Linked DNA regions of Pelodiscus sinensis. The protein of the gene in region 2 purifies or fractionates together with the protein of the main gene of each other region. This does not show direct contact. Links are inferred from orthologs where the notes say so. Each region holds a gene or a part of one and is shown on either strand. Other genes may lie near its edges.

Region 1 (7,271 bases), on a different chromosome or scaffold from region 2:
TGTGACTCCATCTTGTAATTTTCCACAGTAAAAACAGTGGGATTGTCTCCACTTGCAGAAGCTATTAAGCATCTGGAAACACCTCCATTTTGCCTCCTTCCTGTTTAAATCTCTGGACTATGGACTTATCCCAATGAGAGCATTCTAACAAAAAGACTGAGGTGCTTCCAATTATTTAGGAGCAACCAGAGACTTGACTTAAGCTTGCAGTTTATTCCATCACTGCTATAGCTTGAACTAAGAACGCTGCAATTATTATACGTATTTGATTACTTTAACCAATTTTAACTCTCACCTTTCTTTCAATAAATAAACCTTTGGATTTTAGATATTAAAGGACTGGCACAGCATGATGTTGGGGTAAGATCTGAGTTCTGTACAGGCAGTCCCCGGGTTACATGGATCCGACTTACATCGGATCCCTACTTACAAACGGGGTGAGGCAACCCCGCACTAGCTGCTTTTCCCCCTAGCAGACCAGGGAGACGCGAAGCTAGCGCCCCACCCAGCAGACCAGGGAGACGCGGAGCGGCTTCTCTCAGCAGACATCTCAGCTTGAGAATAAAGGACGGAGGGAAGTGAGGTGTGGGAGAATAAAACTGAGCTCTGGAGAAATGTTTGGCTAGAGTTTCCCCTACAATATGTACCAGTTCCGACTTACATACAAATTCAACTTAAGAACAAACCTACAGTCCCTATCTTGTACGTAACCCGGGGACTGCCTGTATTGCCCTGGGTATGTGGCTGGTCCTTTGGGATCAGAAGAACTTATTTGATTAGACTGGTTGTATAGATCCACTTGCCTTTAAATTCAGTGGTTTTTAGGGTGATAGACTGGAATGCCTCCGTTAACTGTTTTTTGACTTCTTGTTAGCCATTGAGGTGAGAGAGACATTTACTTTTGTGGCTGGTTTGGTATATGTTAAGGGAGAGTAATCACCAGCATTTGGGGATATATTTGCCCTATTTCTCAGCAGCATGACCTGAATATAATATTCTCAGTTGTAATGCAAAAATGCATGGTTACAATGGCTCTCTGGGTATTGTATGTGGGGGAAAAACAAAAACAAAATATTTTCCCAACTATGATTAAGTATGACAACAATGTACATAAGGAACAACTTTTTGGTATAATTTACTCAGAACTTCCAACAAGCTCCTGAGGGTATGTCTACACTACCCCGCTAGTTCGAACTAGCGGGGTAATGTAGGCATACCGCAGTTGCAAATGAAGCCCGGGATTTGAATTTCCCGGGCTTCATTTGCATAAACCGGGCGCCGCCATTTTTAAATCCCGGCTAGTTCGAACCCCGTGCCACGTGGCTACACGCAGCACGGGGTTCGAACTAGTCGGGATTTAAAAATGGCGGCGCCCGGTTTATGCAAATGAATCCCGGGAAATTCAAATCCCAGGCTTCATTTGCAAGTGCGGTATGCCCACATTATCCTTCTAGTTTGAATTAGGAGCGTAGTGTAGACATACCCTGAGAGAGTTCTTTTCACTGGATGATTAAATAACTTAATAGTCACAGATCAGAAACTGTCTAAGGCAGAGGTTCTCAGTATTTTTCTTTCTGAGTCCCTCTTCATCCTCCCCCAGCATGCTATGAAACCTCCATGGCTACCTGTGTCACAGAAACTGGTTTTTTTTTTCTACATATAAAAGCTAGGACCAGCATTGAAGAGTATAAGCAGAGCACCTGCCAGGACCTGACACCACAGGGCTCGGGCAAGGCTCAGAATCCTGGTGTCCAACCCCAAATACTGGGGCTTCAGCTTTCTTCCCTGGGCCCCGCACCTCTAATGCCAACTGTGCTTGGCAGACCCTCTTAAACTTGCTTGTTGGCTCCTTGGGGGAACCCAGACCCATGGTTGAGAACCACTGGTCAGAGTGACAGAAAACAAAAGTAGGCATAGTTGGCCAATATTCATCATGGCAAAAGTTGTTAGGACCTCAAAGCATTTGCATTAGAGTAATAAGTGGTATTTAATATATTCTCTTATCTGATTAATGGGGTGGCACAAGCCTCTCACTAGTGCCCTCTTCTGGTTAGGTTTGTCTGCAGTCTTTCAACCCATTGATGGTTTCTCAGAGTTTTCCAGAGACAGCCCTTTGGCCGAGTCACATGTACTGTGTATTAATCAGACCAGATCACTTTCAGGATGTACAGTCCCTTGGGGAACCATCTCAGTACTCCTTGGTTGGTGTCTTTCTAGTCCTTCCCAGACTCCCTCTTTAAGTAGTCCCACCTTGGTAGGACTCCCAGGACTTTCTCCCTGGAGCCACTACCTTCCTGTGGCCCTCCTTGGGCTCAAACCTTACTTGGTCCTAGCAGCCAGCCAGGAGCTCCTTTCTTGCTCCTCCAGCAACTATCTTGGTCCCAGCAACCACCTGGCCCTTGCTGGCACCTGTCTTAGGCTTCATCCTAGCAGCCAGCCACATGCTCACTTTTTCCCCTGGTTCTTGCCAGCACTGAGCTGTCTGTAAGGAATTCTGAAGGGACCTACAAAAGTCGGTCAGCATAATGACAGAATGGAATGGAATTTTAAGTAAATGTAATGTACATCGGAAGAAATTGTTTATTCATACATGTAATTGGATTCTAGATTAAATGTGGAAATCTTTCAGGTAAAGAACCTGTGCATCATTCTTTAAAGACAGATCAGTAAGAACATTTGTTCACTGGAAAGTAAGCAAATGAAACATTATCATATGTAAGCAATAGGATGGAAAAAATATACAGAACATATAATATCACTAGACGACTTAACTGGTGTTGCCTGGGTGCTTCAGGGCAAGGGGTTGGCAGCGTGCAGGATTCAGGACAGGAGGCTATAGGCATGGGTGATGCAAAAGTCAGGCTGGGGGTGAGGAGGGGCTCAGGGCAGAGGTGCAGGAATCAGGGCAGAGGATTGGTAAGAGGGGGAGCTCAGAGGAAAGGGATGGGAACTCAGGAGGGGGGGCAGGGTCTCAGGATGGGATGGGAAGGGCTGGCAGCTTCTCCCCAAGAGTGGCAGGGGGCACAACACCCACCCTCTTTTTCCTTGAAGTGGGGGTTGGGGACGACTGTGCAACCTGCCCTCTAGTTTCTCCTTGGTGGCCAGGGGCAGGAAGGCCATGCACCCTGTCCGCCATCTCCTGGGCAGACAGACAGATGCACATTTCTAAAATATATAGATTATGTCAAACACTGGTATGTGTTCACCTTGAATATTTGAATTCACTTTAGGTCACTTTTTAGGGCTTTCTCTAAAAACGAAAAGACCAAAGGTAGATGATAGAGCATGTAAAATCTTTTATCAGGAGCAATTGCAACTGTTTCGTTTTGAGAAAGGATAATAAAGAGGGGACATTATAGAAATAAATAAAATAATAAATGGGACACAGAAGGTAAAATAAAAACAATCATATTTCTGTTATTACAAGAATAAGGGAACAAAAAGGAAATGGAATTGTAACAAACTGAAATACTTTATCTCATCAATCCACAATTAGCTTGTGAAACTCATTGCCACAAGATATCACTGATTCTAAGTGTGAGTAGGGAATTTACCCATTCTGTTCTAAAACAAATTCCTCACACTGTAGAATAAAAACTATCCCCTTGGGTTTTGGGCTTTATTAACAGAGAAATTAACTACAGTGTAATTCAATTCGTCCGCTCCTTGGGTCCCTACTTCAGGACACTCTGGCTATGTCTACACAGCAGTGTTATTTCAGAATAAACTGATGTTATTCTGAAATAACAAAGAGCACCTCTACACAGCAAACCATTATTTCGAAATAAGGGCAAGGAGAAGGACTTCTTACTCCAATTCCTGTAACCCTCATTTCACAAGAAGCAAGGGAAGTGGAAGAAAGAGCATTCCAAAACCTGAATTAAGCTATTTTGACTTTAGCTATGCAATTGACATAGCTGAAGTTGTGCAGCTTCATTTGACTTTTGTCCTGCTGTGTGGACTTGCCCTCTGTCCTCTCTAGTTACAGAGCTACTCCCTTGCCTTGCTCATCCCAAATGCCATGACCTGAGTCACCTACTCCCATTGTTGTGTGTAAGCCGTGCACACACTGAACACGTTATGAAACGAAAAGGCCCAGCAGCAGCAGTGAAGGGGAGCGCAGGGAGGCGCTAGCAGGCTGCTGGGGGCTCTAGCCGCTCCCTGTGCTGGCTCTCCCATACACCACCTCTATGAAGACCGCTCCAGCTTGCGGAGGGGCGGGCATGCTCTAGGAACTACAACTCCCAGCAGGCAGCGCGGGTCTTCACCGCCCCGCGTTCGGAGGAAGCCGAGCGCGCGCTGGTCCAGGCGTTCACGCGGGAGAGTTGTATGGGCCGCTGGGGAGCCGATGCGTCCGGCGGCGGCGGGGCGGGCCCTGGCAGCGCTACCGTTCCGTGGTGAGCGACGGTTTAAGGGGCCGTTGGTCTCTCTGTGAGCAGCGAAGTCCTCTGTGGGTGTAGCACGCGACCGCCCTGCGTCTGTGTTGTGGGCCGGGCCCGGGGGCAGCTGCCAAATGCGCCCGTAGCATTATGGGGAGAGGGTACCGCATAATGAGCGCGGGGGCAGTTTCTTAGCAACCTGCCCCTGTCACTGGTTTGGGGTCGCTCACTGGGGGTGAGGGCAGTGACGCGCTCGTGCTTCCCTTCTCTTCCTGCGTATCCTCCCGTTGGGCCGGGTAACGGCGCTGGTGGAACTAGTGGCGCCTGGTGATTGTGTGTCACCCCGTATTGTTTCCTCTGCTCTCTGGGGAGGTGGCTCCTCCGCAACAGCTGATGGGGAGATGTGACTATCAAGATGGGGAAATTGCCCTTGTAGTGCCTTGTAGTGCCAGTTCACACCTTTATTCAGGCCTAATTTGCTTGTCTTGAATTTGCAAATGAATCGGAGTTGAGCTGTTTCTAACTGTTTTTTTTTAAAAAAGGAGGATGGCTACTTTTAAATCCATTACTGAATGTCCAGGGAGGTTCAAATATTCCTCTGCTGTACAGTATTACTATGTTACTTTTCTTGATGTCTGATTTGTGTCTGTTTATCTTCTGGCACAGAGACTTCCAGTTTGGCCAAAATTGATGGCAGAGGGGCATTGCTGGCACTTGATGGCATAGATCCTATTAGTGGATGTGCAGGTGGATGAGCCCCTTGATGGTGTTTATGTTCATTGATGTTATTAATAGAGGGAGAGAGCTTGGTCTTCTATACCACCATATTATGAAAACATGTCTGAGTTTTCATAACATAGTGGTAGAAATGCGTGAGCTTTATCCGTAGTGGAGCTTACCTACTACTGGTGCAGCTGCTGCACTACAAGTACCAGTTAGTATTTTACCTGTGTAGAAAAGGCCATATTTTATAGTGCTTGGAAGATGCCAATACTAATAGTTAATGTATTCAAATTTTAGATCAGAAAATACCTTTTTTTTTCTGTTTACTTGGAAATTTCTTTTGTTGTTGTTTAATTACCACTTAACAATGGTGATATGTTTGTTTTGGGATATAGCTTGGGGTGGGGAGGGGAAGCTAACCAAATTATTATAGAAGTGTATGATTATGCAATGGGGAAAATGAAGTCAATGATGAAGCATTTTTTGGCTTATTTTTGTTCAGATAATGGAGTCTCTCAGTTCCACTAAGGCTCAAAAGTGTGAATCAAGAACACGGGATGAAAGTGAAGATGACATTGAGTTTATCTCTGTAAGTAGATATTGACTCAATAACTATAGATACTTTTACCAGTTAACTATGTAAAATGTTCTAAGAATTGAATATGTAATGTTAATTATCTCAGCTATATCTTAAATTATTGATATAATTTTAAAAACTCAAATTTTCAGAGCATATGAAAATACTACTTTAATCTTTGCTTTCAAAAAGCAGCTTAATTCTTAAACTAAACTGATCTGCCTCTGTTAAGAAAATCTGCATTAAATAGAGTTTTGCTTTGAGGCCAGAGTCCTATAATGACATCTCTCTAGGTGGGCAGGAGTCTCCTCAGTGGACTCTTCTGAAACACAAGGAGCCTTAGCACACCTCATTAATAGTTGGTGGTTCTGTCCATCTCAGCTAAAGTTGAATAAGAGAATCAATGGAGCAAAGCTAGCTTTTGTCAACACACGCATGTGGATAGACTGGGGGTCATATTCTGATATTCTTGATACAGTAAAATGGAGCATTACTCTGAGTAATCCCACTGTACTCAGTCAGACTACTTGTGAAGTCAGGTGTGCAGCTCATTGTGTAATGGCACCACAATTTCACTTTGTATTCTCTGATAGAGATAGGGGAGATGAATAGGAGTAGAAGTCAAATAGCAGTTTAGTTAGGATGTAGAGTACTGTTCGACACACACAGTTGCAGAATGGATTATAGAATGCTCTTGTGTGGCTTCTGACTCAGAATCCCTCCTGTAATGTCAAATTTTTCACAAGACTCTGTCTTCACTGTCATGTAATTTATGTATGTACATAATACTGATGCCTGTTGAAACCTGAACACAACTTTTAAAAACGTGTGTTGCTAAATTTTTATGAGGAGAGTGCGGCATGTGTAATACTACATGGACATGAACCTAAATTCTTTGTCGGTGAAGCAGTCCTATGACAGAAGGAAATATGGAAGAATAGAGGGAAATCTTCCTTTTTAGGACAGCTTTCAGCTCTTACTACATTTAAAAAGCAGAGCCACAGTGGTCTCAGACCCAGCACGAGCTTGGACTGCTCAGTCCCTGCTTGTGCCACTGCCAGGAGATAACCCCCTTATCAGCTAATCGAGTAGTTGATGGAAATTCCATCGATTTCTCAATTAGCTTATTAATTGCTACTTAACATTCTTAATATATAGAGAGAGTAATAGACATCTACTAGCCAGAGGCTGATAGAAAATGGAAGGGGCAGAAGTGTGCCAGTAGTTATTGGGGCAATGATCATGTGAAGCCCAGCCCTACTATTCCAATAGCTTCTTGAAAAGAAAGTGCCCCTGGGAGTTCTTAGAGGCTGCTCCAGGGCTCCACCTTTTTACCACTGTCTGGCTGAGCAAAGTGCAGCTGAGTTTTTTCCCTCACTGATAGGATTCTGGATAATAGCAGTGGAATTAATTAGTTTAATTTAAGTCTGATGTTCTGGGGAAAAGCTGCAAGTAGCTACAGACACTCTCACAGCAGCCTGGAGATTGAAAAGATCATCTTGCAACATTTTAGATTAAAAAGCCTAAGACACTTATAAAAAATGATCTGAGATTCGCCAGAAATTAATGTTTGATGTGCTACATATGTAAAT
Region 2 (7,098 bases):
TTCAGACCAAAGGTCCACCTAGCCCAGTATCCAGTATCAGCTGACAGTGGCCAGCGCCAGATGCCCCAGAGGGAGGGAACACAACAGGTAATCCTCATAAAGCGGCGAGGAGTCCTGTGGCACCTTACAGACTAATTGAAGTGTAGGAGCATAAGCTTTCGTGGGCAAAGACCCACTTCGTCAGTGTCTTATGCTCCTACACTTCAGTTAGTCTATAAGGTGCCACAGGACTCCTCGCCGCTTTTGCAGATTCAGACTAACACGGCTCCCCCTCTGATAGGTAATCCTCATGTGATCCTTCCCCTGTCACTCATTTCCAGACAGACAGAGCCTAGGGACACCATTCCTACCATCCTGGCTAATAGCCATTGATGGACCTAACCTCCATGAATTTATCTAGTTCTTTCTTAAACCCTGTTAAAGTTCTGGTCTTCATAACCTTCTCTGGCAAGGAGTTCCACAAGCTGACTGTGCACTCTGTGAAGAAAATCTTCCTTTTGTTAGTTTTAAACCTGCTACCTATTAATTTCATTTGGTGACCCATAGTTCTTATGGGAACAAGTAAATTTTTCCTTATTCACTTTTTCCACACCAGTCATGATTTTATAGACCACTATCATATACTCCCCTTAGTCTCCTCCTTTCTAAGCTGAAAAGTCCCAGTCTTTTTAATCTCTCTTCATATGCAGGGCTCGACAATTCGTGTAATCTACTCGCTCATGGCGAGTTGATTACAAGTCGGCACAGCCGCAGAGTGTGCTCAGTGGATGCGCAGCACGATCTGCGCATGCGCAGTGTGCCAAACCGCGTGGCTGGCGAGCAGGGCTCGCGTCACTTGGTGAATCCTGTTCATGTGGAACCCATTCCAAACCCCTAATCATTTCTGTTGCCCGTTTCTGAACCTTTTCCAATGCCAATATTTCTTTTTTGGGATGAGTCGATCACATTTGTATGCAGTATTCAAGACGGGGGCGTACCATGGTTTTCAGGGCCAGCCTTAGGCCAATTCAGCCGATTCCCCAGTGTGGGGCCCTGTGCCTGAGGGGGTCCCGTGCCCAGGGAAACGACGGATGCGCAGTGCACCAGGAGCACACCGCTTGCGTGGGGCCCCTGGACGCACGGCACATGCGTTGTGACATCCCGGGCGCATGGCACATGCGCCATGTGCCCGGGGGGGGGCCATGCATGCATTGTACTCCCGGGGCACTGCGCATGCATCGTGACATCTGGGACGCACAGCGCATGCGTCGTGCCTCTGGTGTGCGACGCATGCGCCATGCCGCCCGGGGCCCCGCGCATGTGCGGCCCCGTCCCAGGAATCGGGCCCCACGCTCCATAGAGCTGGCTCTGATGGTTTTATATAGAGGCAGTAAGATATTCTCTGTCTAATTCTCTATCCCTTTTTTAAGGATTCCTAATGTTCTGCTTGCTTTTTTGACTGCTGCTGCACACAGAGGCTGTGTCTAGACTGCATCCCTTTTCCGTTAAAGGGATGCAAATTAGACACATCACAATTGCAAATGAAGCGGGGATTTAAATCCCCCCTGCTTCATTTGCATAAACATGGCTGCCGCTTTTTTTCCGGCTCGGAGCTTTGCCAGAAAAAAGCGCCATTCTAGACGGGGATCTTGCGGAAAATAAAGCCTTTTCCAAAAGATCACTTATTCCTCTTAAAATAAGGAATAAGGGATCTTTCGGAAAAGGCTTTATTTTCCGAAAGATACCCGTCTAGACTGGCGCTTTTTTCTGGCAAAGCTCCGAGCCGGAAAAAAAAGTGGCAACCATGTTTATACAAATGAAGCGGGGGGGATTTCAATCCCCACTTCATTTGCAATTGCGATGTGTCTAATTTGCATCTCTTTTACGGAAAAGGGATGCAGTCTAGACACAGCCAGAGTGGATTATTTTGGAGAATTATCCACAGTGATTCCAAGATCTCTCTCTTGAGTAGTTGTAGACAAATTAGTCCCCGTTATATTGTATGTCTAGTTGGGATTATTTTTTCTAATGTGCATTACTTTACATTTATCAACATTAAATTTCATTTGCCATATTGTTACCCCTGGGAATTCATTTCTGCACCAGCACTAGGGCCATTCGGGAGGTGAGATTGCATATTCCTTGTTCATGTGATATTGGAGCGTCAATTTAGTCCCTAGCATAGTCTAGGACTGTGTTTCTCAACCTTTTTTTATAAAGTACCCTTTAAAAAAATTATAAGTACCCCCAGTACCTATAGTTTTCAGAGACAATTTTTTTCTACCATTGCAACACATTTGTTTAAACAACTTAATGGTAGCCGGGGGGGCGATGACATTTTTGGGTGTAAAAAGTACAAAAATAAGAAAACTTAAAACAAAAATTCAGTTTTCTCCAAATTTCAGTTGTGTGGACGTACCCCCCAGACTTCTCTTTAGTACCCCTAAGGGTACTGGTACCACTGGTTGAGAAACACTGGACTAGGACAATTTAGTCCCTCTTGGATCATGGCAGCCAAGAATCAGTAGAATGCAGGGCTGCTCCAACTCCTTCTGCTACACCTGCCCTGCCTTTTCCCTCCTCCAGTGCACCCCCAGCCTGCCCTCTGCACTGGGAAGGAGTGCAAGTGGAGGGGGTCTTCTGCAGATGTTCTTGCTCCAGTGGTAGGCACAGAGACCTCATATACACCTATTCTCTCACTCCTTTGTGGCAACGTGGCCAGCACAAAGGGACTGTGGGGCAGTGACCCATCTGACCTGGTGTTTCTATAGCAGCTTCTACCCTGAGGATCAGCAATCGCTAACCAGGCTTTGCACTGGCAGGGAAGCCCTTAGCCTTGGCCACTGACACCGAATCTCAGACATCCATGGCATTGCACATCTGCCCTTGCCTGGGAACTTCTCCCGGAAGCTGCTGGAGTTTTCCTCATGCCATCGCCCTGCCCGCTCATCTTGCTGTCTCCATCCACTGCCCTTTGGGATGTTGGCAGTCAAGGGAAATGACTTTCCTCCCGCACGGCTGATGGTTTGGGATGTAAACAAGGAGGCGGTCTTTCTGTGCAGCCCGGAGCCCCACGAGGTCATAGACACAACTGCAGTGACCTCATGAGAGTGGATTGCGCCATCTTCCCCAGGGATACGGGCAGTGCCCTGTACCCTGGAAGGGAAACCCTGGCAGCTGTTCAGGATCCAGTTACTGGCTAAAACCAGCTGTTCTCAAGTGCTGAGTGCCCATTAGGAGACGCTCAAGGCTTGACTCACAGAGGTGCTAAGCACCCACAGTGTCAGCAGGGATGAGGAAGCTGCGGGGTCCTCAGCTCTTTCCAGATGAGGGCTTGGATGGCTGGAGCCAGACATCCAAAAACAGCCACTCCCCAAAACTGGACAACACTCTTGAAGGTGAATGCTTCACCCCCTTCAAAATCTCTCTCAGAACTGCCAGCAGAAACTGATTGATCGTTCTTAAGTCAGTGACAATAAATGAGGAGTAACGTTAGTTCAAACCAAGGGGTTTGGTTAGAACGAACGCGTCCCGGTGTGCATGTCCTGGTCCGAATCAGCTGTGATTCGAACTAGTGCATGGTGAGATCTTGCTAACGAAGTGCGGGATATTTAAATCCCCGCTTCACTGATTATTTCGAATGCCTGCATTTTCATCCCTTGTTCGAACTAGGGTGCAAGTGTAGACATACCTTTAGGGTATGTCTACACTAGCTCGTTAATTCGAGCTAGGTAGGGTAATGAGGGCGACCGGAGTTGCAAATGAAGCCTGGGATTTAAATATCCCAGGCTTCATTTGCATGTTCCCGGGCGCCACCATTTTTAAATGCCCCGTAGTTCGAACTCCCTGCCTGCGGCTACACACGGCACAGGCTAGGTAGTTCGAATTAAAGCTCCTGATTTGAACTACTGTTACTCCTCATTCCACGAGGAGTAACAATAGTTTGAATTAGGAGCTTTAATTCGAACTACCTAGCCCATGCCGCGTGTAGCTGCGGGCAGGGAGTTCAAACTACAGGGCATTTAAAAATGGCAGCACCTGGGAACATGCAAATGAAGCCCGGGATATTTAAATCCCGGGCTTCATTTGCAACTCCGGTCGCCCTCATTATCCTACCTAACTCGAATTAACTAGCTAGTGTAGACATACCCTTAGAGACTAACCAAAATATATAGAATCATGAGCTTTCGTGGGCAAAACCCACTTCAGCAGATGAATTAGAGTGGAAATAACAAAAACCAAGATATATATATAATAGTAGAAGTAGTACTTGTCAATTGTAGGACCCATGTTAATGAGGCTAATTAAGTGGGCTGGATGTGTCCCATACATAGATTTTGATGTGGAAATGCAGATATTAATGGCAGGAGAAATTGGCTTTGTAATGCTTCAACCAGTTAATGGCTTTGTTACCCTGGGCCTAAGCCAATTTCCCCTGCCATTAGCATCTGCATTTCCACATCAAAAGCTATGTATGACCAGTGTTAATTAGCCTCATTAACTTGGGCCTTACAATTGACAGAGACGTCTGCTGTTACATTGATCTCTTGATTTCTGTTATTTTCACTCCAATTCATCTGAGGAAGTGGGTTTTACCCACGAAAAGCTCATGTGCTTCTATCTATTTTGGTTAGTCTCTAGGGGTATGTCTACACTACAGCGCTAGTTCGAACTAACTTAGTTCGAATTAGTTAATTCGAACTAAGCTAGTTCGAACTAACGCATCTAGAACTAAAAACTAGTTCGAACTAGCGTTTTGCTAGTTCGAACTAGCAAGTCCACATTGAGTGGACTCTGAACAGGGCTTAAGGATGGCCGGAAGCAGTGCCGGCAGGGCATAAAAGGAGGACTTAGAGCATGGAGATGCTGTCTCAGGCTAGCCGAGGGCTGCGCTTAAAGGGTCCCGACCCCCACCCCGGACACACAGTTCTAAGGGGTGCCCCGCTTGCAAAGAAGTTCTGGCTTGGAGTGCCCTGAGTGCCCACACTGGGCACATCACACCACTCGGCCATCAGCCCAGCTGCACTTGCCGCAGGCTGCCATCTGCGGAGAGGGAGTAATTGGGGGGCTGCAGGAGAGCTTCCACCGTGAGGAGCCCACAGAGCCAGCCCAGTCCTCCCCATCGGGGGCTCGTACCCCATTCCTCCCTCACCTCCTTCCACTTACCCTTCCTTAGCCCCCCTTCTTATTGATGTACAAAATAAAGATAACGTTTCTTCCAACATTGACTCTGTCTTTATTGAAAAAAAACTGGGGGAGACTGGGAAAAGGAGGTGGGAGAGGGGAAGAGAAAGGCTGGGAGAGGGGAGGGCAACTAACATGATCAGGGGTTGGGAACAGGTCCCAGATGAAGAAAGGCTACAGAGACTGGGACTGTTCAGCTTAGAAAAGAGGAGATGGAGGGGGGACAGGATAGAGGTCTCTAAAAGCAGGAGTTGGGTGGAGAGGGTGCATTCAGAAAAGTTCTTCCTGAGTTCCCATAAAGAAGGACTAGAGGACACCAAAGGAAAGGAATGGGTAGCAGGCTTGAAACTAGTAAGAGAAAGTTGTTGTTCTTCAGAAAGCAAATAGTTAACTTGTGGAACTCCTTGCTGCAGGAGGCTGTGAAGGCTACAACTAGAACAGAGTTGAAAGGGAAGTGAGATCAAGTCATGGAGGTTGGGTCCATGGAGTCCTATTAGCCAGAGGGTAGGAGTGGTGTCCCTGCCCAAAGTTTGTGGAAGGCTGGAGAGGGATGGCACGAGACAAATGGCTTGGTCATTGTCTTTGGTCCATCCCCTCCAGGGTCCCTAGGGTTGGCCGCTGTTGGCAGACAGGCTACTGGGCTAGATGGACCTTTGGTCTGACCCAGTACGGCCATTGTAAGCTCAGGGCTCAGGGTCGGGGGTCTCAGTGGACCCCCTTGATTTTCATGCACACCTGGTCCTGGGTGGCCAGGCTGGCAGCTCTCCTGCCCTAGACGGCCACTTTCCTGTGCCTAGTGCGGAGATCGTGGACGAGGTCCACGATGTCCGCACTAGCCCAGGAAGGTGCCCGCCTCTTGCGGTCCAGGGCAAGCTCCCGGGAGCCGCCAGCCTGGTCCCGGCAAGAGGGGGTGGGCTGGGGGGCATCGGGTGGGTGGCTCTGTGCCGTGCCAGGTGCAGGGTCTGCTAGCTGGGTGCTGGCAGGCTTGCACCTGGCACGGGCACCGTAGCCAGCCCGTGCCCCTTTAAGGGGTCCGGGGCCGGGAGGGGGGCATAGAGTTTCCCTGGTGTTGGCCAGAGTGGCCACCAGGGAAACCTGGGGAGGGCTAGCCTCCCACTAGTTCGAACTAAAGGGCTACACAGCCCTTAGTTCGAACTAGCTAGTTCGAACTAGGCGTTAGTCCTCGTAAAATGAGGTTTACCTAGTTCGAACTAAGCGCTCCGCTAGTTCGATTCAAATTCGAACTAGCGGAGCGCTAGTGTAGCACCTATTAAAGTTAGTTCGAACTAACGTCCGTTAGTTCGAACTAACTTTGTAGTGTAGACATACCCTAAGGTACCATGGGACTTCTTGTTGTTTCTGAAAACAAGAGGCTGCCATGCATAAACTGGGATCACGGGGGCTTTGCAATTTGATTCCCCTTGTGAGGAGGTCTCGCTGCTTTCTGGCCAGTACTATTTTTTTCTTTTAAAAATAAAGGCTGCGCTCAGAAACAACCATCCAAGCCCACACCAGCCTGAGATGCCCAGTGCTCCCACACACCCCTGCAGTGCCAAGCGACTATGCGCGCACACAGAGGAGAAAAGATCAGACAAATTAATTGCAGATGCACGTTTGATTGCTTAGAGGGTGTTATATAAACGTCAGTGAGAAGACGAGGTTGTGGCAAAGCATTATGTCACTCCCTCTCCCAGTGCTGTGTCCCTTTGCCCTTCCTGAGTCTGTGACTTCCACAGTCATTTTGGCTTCTGTCGACAGCCTGTCTGCTGGGCTTCACGCCTTCCTGGAGTGTCTGCTGGCTGGGATCAGCAGAGGACTGTACTGGCCACTGCTGTGCCTGGAGGGCTGCTAAGGCAATGCCACCGCAAGGGCAGGCTGTTTTCTGATCGCAAGGAGCTCTGCGGTGCTGACCCTTTGCTTCATGCAGCCTTGGAG

What was found.
Region 1: the proteins of TOP2A (region 2) and ZNF451 purify together in Homo sapiens (affinity purification with mass spectrometry; 3 studies listed by BioGRID and IntAct, with this or other methods). This does not show direct contact. The link is inferred for Pelodiscus sinensis from reciprocal best matches to the Homo sapiens genes TOP2A and ZNF451.

The regions. Positions count from the first base shown.
Region 1 is NC_134713.1:44,287,661-44,294,931, forward strand, and holds the start of ZNF451 (E3 SUMO-protein ligase ZNF451), read left to right. Parts: upstream 1-4,263; 5' UTR 4,264-4,397; intron 4,398-5,604; 5' UTR 5,605-5,607; coding exon 5,608-5,691; intron 5,692-7,271. UniProt on the Homo sapiens protein: E3 SUMO-protein ligase; has a preference for SUMO2 and SUMO3 and facilitates UBE2I/UBC9-mediated sumoylation of target proteins. Plays a role in protein SUMO2 modification in response to stress caused by DNA damage and by proteasome inhibitors (in vitro).
Region 2 is NC_134739.1:10,730,900-10,737,997, reverse strand, and holds the start of TOP2A (DNA topoisomerase 2-alpha), read right to left. Parts: upstream 3,019-7,098; 5' UTR 2,930-3,018; coding exon 2,870-2,929; intron 1-2,869. UniProt on the Homo sapiens protein: Key decatenating enzyme that alters DNA topology by binding to two double-stranded DNA molecules, generating a double-stranded break in one of the strands, passing the intact strand through the broken strand, and religating the broken strand.